Canis lupus familiaris: one gene and its partner. The protein of the gene in region 1 interacts with the protein of each later gene in a pairwise test. Links are inferred from orthologs where the notes say so. Each region holds a gene or a part of one and is shown in the gene's direction. Other genes may lie near its edges.

Region 1 (3,649 bases):
CTAGATGAATGGTCTCGGGTAAGTTATCTAACAATGTGTGTGCCTTGGTTTCCCAATTTGTAAAATGAGAGCAATACTAATAAATGTACCTGTTGGAGTCATCGTGAGGGTTAGTTATCTTACTTCCTACAAGGTACTTGAAACAGTACCTGGTTTGTTACAAGTACTCATTTTAGCCATAAATATTATGATTTGACTAAACAGTTGTTCTTTTAGTATTCTCTGGGGTAGAATTAATGAACACATGCACAATAATAAATACAAAGTTGTTCTCTTCAATATTGTAAACAACAAAAAATACTTTAAATGTCTAGCAGTATGGGAATGGTAAACTATAATTTTGTTATTTTGTAATATTGTGTAGTTATAGTAATGAGGTAGATCAATGTACAAAGGTGGAAAAATCTCTAAAAATTAATTTTAAGAGACAATTTACTAGAGCACCTGGCTGGCTCAGTTGGTTGAGCATGTGACTCTTGATCTCAGTGGTGAGTTCAAGCCCCAGGTTGGGAGTAGAGTTTACTTTAAGGAAAAAAAAAAAAAAAAAAAAACAGTTTACAAAGTATCCTAACTAGGTTAAATAAACCATGCAGTTCACAGGTAATATTTGTACCTATATAAATTTACAATGAAAAGTTCAAAGCTTAAAAACCTAAATGTTAACAGTGGTTACATTTGAAATAGAATGGGTCTGTAGAAGGGAGGAAAAAATTCAAGATTTTCATCCCAGCATTTCCACTAGGTAGGTTAACAATGAGTGCTAACATAGGCTTTCTGCTCCTGTTATAAAATGAGGTGGTTGGAGTAGAGTAATGTTGCGGAGGACCTTGTTAGTTACAGTTGCAGTTAAAGCTGTTCTTTTTCTAAGAAGTCAGATACTTAGTAATTCTAGCTTTTGTTTATTTTCTTCAAAAATAGTTCCCACTTCCTGGCCTTTTTACCTATCTTACAAAAATTAGTTTTGGTGTTCACCTTTTGGTAACTTTCTCTTCTAGATCTTTTCAACTTTATTAAAATTTTTAGGATAATTGTTTAGAATAAAAGACCTTCTCATAATTTGTCCTTTGCTTGTGGGAAATAAAAGTAAATAAGTCAGAGTAGGTAACATCATCAAAATATTTGTGAACCCATTCTGGTTTACTTTTTTTTTTTTAATGTAAGCTCTAAGCCTGTTGTGAGGCTTGAACTCACAACCCCGAGATCAAGAGTCACATGCTCTGTGGAATCTTCAATAGCCAGGTGCCCCTATTTTACTTTTTTAATACAATCTTAAAAAAGAAGAGGCTGAGTAGTCAAATGTAATTAATTCTTAAATGAAACTGTCCATGAACATCATTGACCCTAGATATGTTTTGTTTTGTTTTGTTTTGTTTTATAGCTGACTTTGGGTTCTGTGCCCAGATCACCCCTGAGCAGAGCAAGAGAAGTACCATGGTTGGAACGCCATACTGGATGGCACCAGAGGTGGTTACACGGAAAGCTTATGGCCCTAAAGTGGACATATGGTCTCTGGGTATCATGGCTATTGAGATGATAGAAGGAGAGCCGCCATACCTCAATGAAAATCCCTTGAGGGTAAGACCAATTAAACACCACCAGCCTTATTTTTGGAAAAATTCATTTCTTTAGAACATTTATTGATTTATCTATTTTTTAAAAGATTTTATGTATTTATTCATGACAGACACAGAGAGAGAGAGGCAGAGAAACAGGCAGAGGGAGAAGCAGGCTCCATGCAGGGAGCCTGACGTGGGACTCAGTCCCGGACCTCCAGGATCACACCCCTGGCTGGAGGCGGCGGTAAACCGCTGGGCCACCAGGGCTGCCCCAGAACATTTATTTAGAATCTGATTGTGCCAGACACTGGGCAAAAATTTAGGATACAAAGTTGATATAACCTGGTCTCTACATCTAAAAATTATTTGCTTCTGGGTTATTGAGTTGAATGTGTTAGGTAAAAAGTTTGTAGAATCTTAGTAAGCTGTATGGTTTTAAATTTTACACTTAAGCAAGAATTTGCTCACTTTTCTACAAAGAATCTCTAAGTGTATTCTTCAGATTGTCAGCTTTGAACCTTGGCCTCTATACTGTCAGGTATACAGAAGAGGAAAAGAAGATCACATCTATGAGAAAGCTGTGTAGAGGGCAGCCCGGGTGGCTCAGCGGTTTAGCGCTGCCTTCCGCCCAGGGCGCGATCCTGGATACCGAAGATCGAGTCCCACGTAGGGCTTCCTGCATGGAGCCTGCTTCTCCCTCTCCCTCTGCCTGTGTCTCTGCCTCTCTCTTTCTCTCATGAATAAATAAATAAAATCTTTAAAAAAAAAAAAAAAGAAAGAAAGCTGTGTAGAAGGCAATGTTAAAGCTCACATTCAAACAAAAGAGTCAGGGCCCTGAGTTACATACAGATGGGGTTAGTAGACTACAAAATTAGATATTTCAGCAATGGAGGTAGAGAGATTAGGAGTTTGTTCTTTTCTTTTTCTTTGTCTTTTTTTTCTTAAGATATTTTTAAGAGAGAGAGAGCACGAGTAGGGGAGGGGAGAGCTAGAGGGAGAAGCCCCAATGCAAGGCTCTATCCCAAAACCCTGGGATCATGACTTGAGCCGAAGGCAGATGCCTAACTAACTGAGCCACCCAGGTGTCCCCTGTCTGTCTTTTGCTTGCTTGCTTGCTTGCTTTTTCCCTTCTATGTCTACTTTTATTTTATTTATTTATTTTTTAAGATTTATTTATTCATGAGAGATACAGAGAGAAAGGCAGAGACATAGGCAGAGGGAGAAGCAGGCTCCCTGCGGGGAGCTTGATGTGGAACTCGATCAGGGATTCTAGGATCACGCCCTGAGCTGAAGGCAGATGCTCAACCGCTGAGCCACCCAGGTGTCCCCTGTGTCTACTATATGACTCAGGATCATTAGTTATTAAAGAAATGCAAATCAAAACCCCAACGAGCTACTGCTTCATACCTTCAAGAATGACTGTAATAAAAAAGATGGATAATAATAACTGATAGAGAATGTGAAGGGACGCCTGTGTGACTCAGCGGTTGAGCGTCTGCCTTTGGCTCAGGGCGTGATCCTGGGGTTCCGGGATTGAGTCCCCTATAGGCTCCCCAGAGGGAGCCTGCTTCTCCTTCTGCATATGTCTCTGCCTCTCTCTCAGTGTCTTTCATGAATAAATAAATAAAGTCTTTTTTTAAAAAAAAAAGGAGGGAATCCCTGGATGGCTCAGTGGTTTAGTGCCTGCCTTCAGCCCAAGGCATGGTCCTGGGGTCCCTGGATCGAGCCCCACGTCGGGCTCCCTGCATGAAGCCTGCTTCTCCCTCTGCCTGTGTCTCTGCCTCTCTCTCTGTGTGTCTCTCATGAATAAATAAATAAAATCTTTTAAAAAAAAAGAAAGAAAGAAGAGAGAGAGAGAGAGAGAGAGAAAGAAAGAAAGAAAAAGAAAGAAGACAAGAAACCCACAATAAATAAGACGAGCAAATACAGACCCCCCCTCACCAATCCCAGACAAGACCCGCGCAGCTGCACTCCATCCCGCACCATCACATCCCCGCAACCCACCCGACACAAGTACAAGAAAATAACAGATTTCAGAGACCCTGAATGATAGAGAAGAAACTGAGGGTTGCTGGAGGGGAGTCATTTGGGTG
Region 2 (3,749 bases), on another chromosome or scaffold:
ATTGCATATATTATTGTTAGCCGCCTATTAAAACAGACTTCTTTCCCATCTCCTCTACAAAAAAAAGAAAAAACCCTTCTCAAGTCAATCGGATAATCTAAATGCTCGAAAAATAAATGCTCATGAATCTCAAATTAACAGAGATTCCCCCCATCAAAAAAGTACTTGATCCATTTGTCAAAATCATTTGCAGAGTTCCACATCTCCTCTAAGACCAAGTACATTAATCAAACACAGGGCTTCAAGGGGGCTTCATTTTGAGCAACCCAATGGACAAATAAATTAGCTGCCAATGGCTCTTTTGTAATGGAAGAGGACCAGGCTGACCCAAGGAGACAGGAGTAAATCACGAAGGAAACTGTCCACGCAAAAGCAGCATTTTGGGGACCTGAAGGAAACCAAGGAAGCCATCCTGCGTACTCTCGTTTCCAAGAGCGTAAGCCAAGCACATGTGTGTTTATTCGCTAATAAGAAGCTGCAAATGTCCCGTGTCTGGCTGATTTCTTATGTGCTACAACCATACAGATGTTTATGTCTGGGTACACGTCTGAGTGTTGTGCTCAAATGCGGCAGCTCATAAACTTGATCACGCATATTATACCTATGATCTGTAAGAGTGTTTCCCTTCGACACGGTGTATTTCTGGAAGGTTTTCTTCTCTCTCGCCTGGATGGATTTCCTGAGGTCCCTCATTGAAATATGGGCAGAACTGTCCATTTCTACTTTGCAGAGCTTTTCGCTGGTGACTCAGTGAGGGATGATGTCATATGTTATCCTGCACCGGGCTGGTGTGGTTCCCTCTGCTCCCCTAAACCATTCCCTCTGTGTCTGGGGCGGACAGCACTCCCCTGTCGTCAGCTTCTTCCCAGCCAGCCCCAGGCAAACAGCCTCCCCAGCAGCAGATGAAACAGGAAGTCTGACAGCTTGAGTCTGCAGTGGGACCCCTAGTGTTTTCCCACTCCCTGCCCTGGCAGCGTTCCCCACAAGTACAAACACACGCACACAGAGCTCCCATTGTTGCAGCCTTCCCCAGCCCACTGATCCTAATATGGAATGCAGCAGGAAACCCATGATTTCCTGACACTCGCAAGCTGGAGGAAGCAAGGGGGAAACTCCATTAAAAAGCCCAGCTTCCCTCCATGTTAGATGCGAAGGGGGAAAGGGGGAAAGGGGGAAAGGGGGCAAGGCTGAGCAGGATCCCAACGTGCCCTCGGCCGGCCGGCGGGCGGGGGGAGCGCAGGGGGAAGCGCAGGCGGTTGGCATTCCTAGACGGCCAGCAAGCCCCCAGAACTCCGAGAGGATGGGGGCTTCTTAGCTCAAACTAGAGGGGAGCAGGGACAGAGGCTTTGGAGCGTTCTCCCAAACGTGCGCTGCCCTTCCTGACCAGTATGGTAAGCGCGAGGGCACGTGCCAGCCGCCCGGGCCAGGTCCGCGCCATCCCAGGCTCGCGAGGCGAGGCAGAGTGACCCGGAGCCCGCCCGCCGCCCGCCGCCCGCCGCCCGCCGCCCGCCGCGCTCCAGGGGCTTCGGGAGCAGCCGGAGGACCCAGGCGGCTGCACGGTCCCCGCAGCTGGAGCCGCCGGGATGCACTGCCCGGAGGGAGGCGACCGCAGCTGCGGCTGCAGTGGCACCGAGGACAAGAAGATGCTGAAGTGTGTGGTGGTGGGGGACGGCGCCGTGGGGAAGACCTGCCTGCTGATGAGCTACGCCAACGACGCCTTCCCAGAGGAGTACGTGCCCACGGTGTTTGACCACTATGCAGGTAAGGAAAGGTGGAGAGCCGGTCCCTGCGTCGGGGGCGGGGGGCACCGTGCGGGCGGCCACACCCCAACTCACAGGGGCCTGCTTGATTTCTAAGAGCAGGCAGTGTGGGGTGCGGGCCGGCAGTGGCCAGGTCCCGGAGCGGAACACACAGCCAAGGTCTTTGCTGGAACTATTAGGACAATTCCTACATCGATTGGCATCCTAACACTCCTCCCCCCGCCCCCCCTAAACCCTTAAATCGGATGACTAACACTGGGGAAATACCCTGGACCTGCTCTCCAGGCATTGGCGCCAGAGATTTCACTCCATGTGCGCCTGGAGATTGCTAACTTTTTACGCAAACGTTCTAAAATGTAGTGTGATTGCAACACACTTTTTTTTTTTACCAAAAAAAAAAAAAAAATCACCACTAACCACACAACTAGGGAAAGAAGTTTGCCACTTTTCATATATGTACCCCATGCCATTCATAAATGAAATGGTAAGATGAACAAACATTAGAACACTCATTTTTCTGTAACGATCGGTGGCTGTACTATTGTACTTTTTTATTTTCCTGGGGCTGTAGATGGGGGGGGGGCGGTTGGAGGGAGGAATACGAAATATTGGAGGGAGGAATACGAAAAGGTTTTAAGTGTCCATTAGGCAGTATGTATCTTGAATTAAAAGGAACATTTTTAATTAGTACGTTTTTAAGGTAAAACATAAAAATAACATTTGAATCATTTTATTTTTTTTATTTGAATCATTTTAAAGTATGTCCAGAAAGGATGAAATTGGACATAAAATATTTTAAGGCGTGACAGTTAAAATAAGGTAGCCACCACAACTTAATCTTTTCAGTTGCTTTTGTTTTCTGAGTGTTCTAAAGTTTGTAGGTGTTCTTATCAATGGGATAGCTTATCTCAATTTTTCCATGTTGATTCTTACTTTTTCTCTTCATTTCCAAAGCAAATATTGTTCTTCAAAAGCAAGTTCATGAAATTCTTCAAGTTTACAGTAGCCTAACTTTATAGGTTTTTTTTTTTTTTTTCAACAAAATAATCAGCTTCGGTGAGTTATCAGAGATTTGAGACTTCATAAAAGGAAATTCTCCCTTCCTTCACCTTGGCTTTGGGTCAGGTTCAGCAAAGGGGAAGTGGCCCACAGGAAACCTGTGTGAATGTTGGCTTTGCTATGTGGCCATTTGAAATCCTCTCTGTTAGGAAGTAGCTTCTTTTCCAGAGCTAAACAATCACCTAAGTCTCCTCCTTCTCCTACCGTTACAAGATTTATGACAATATTACATAGCAGATTGGGAGAGTACCACAGTGAAAATAGTATCTACTTCCCAGAAGGTTGTTTTATATTTGTAAAAATTAAGAGCAAATTTTAAGGCTGGCTCCCTTAAGCTTTTCTGAAAATATAATGACTGCGCCCAGAGAAGAATATTTTAATGAAAACAGAATAAAAAGAAAAACAAACCAAAACCAAAAAAAAAAAAAAAAAAAAAAAGCCTAATAAGATTAAAAGTAAGTAAGTAACTAAGTAAGTTACCAAAATACTTGACATGGAAACATCTTACCAAATTATTTATTCCACATCCTCTTTTCTGCTAGGAAAGGAAAACTGGCTGGTACCTAATTTCAAAAACTTTGAAAAAAAAAAAAAAACTTTTAGATCGGGGGCGGGGCAGGGGGGGCAAAGTCTGCTAAAGGAAAAGACCTCAAGTCCTTTTGAAAATGATGTATCCTGATCCCCATCTATTGGTCCAACCAATTATCAGTCTATATAAAGAAAGTCTCTCAGAAAGAAAGAGGATAAAACCATCTTTAGAGATAAAGTCAGCCTATAAAAAAATTTTTCGAGATCGAGCAAAGGCTGGACTACCCCTGGATTCCACAAAGATGAAATTATTTTATATTTCAATTGTCTATATACTTACTGTTATTTGTGCGTCAAAGCATCTTAAAGATTTTGGCTGCTCTATGATTTTACCTCTCAAGA

Evidence for each region. The genes of interacting proteins can lie anywhere in the genome.
Region 2: the proteins of PAK2 (region 1) and RHOJ interact in binary tests that used the Homo sapiens proteins (3 or more experiments, as listed by UniProt). The two-hybrid records come from large-scale screens. The link is inferred for Canis lupus familiaris from reciprocal best matches to the Homo sapiens genes PAK2 and RHOJ.

Annotation. Positions count from the first base shown.
Region 1 is NC_049254.1:30,553,505-30,557,153, forward strand, and holds part of PAK2 (serine/threonine-protein kinase PAK 2), read left to right. Parts: intron 1-1,378; coding exon 1,379-1,575; intron 1,576-3,649. UniProt on the Homo sapiens protein: Serine/threonine protein kinase that plays a role in a variety of different signaling pathways including cytoskeleton regulation, cell motility, cell cycle progression, apoptosis or proliferation.
Region 2 is NC_049229.1:38,078,435-38,082,183, forward strand, and holds the start of RHOJ (rho-related GTP-binding protein RhoJ), read left to right. Parts: upstream 1-1,491; 5' UTR 1,492-1,583; coding exon 1,584-1,761; intron 1,762-3,749.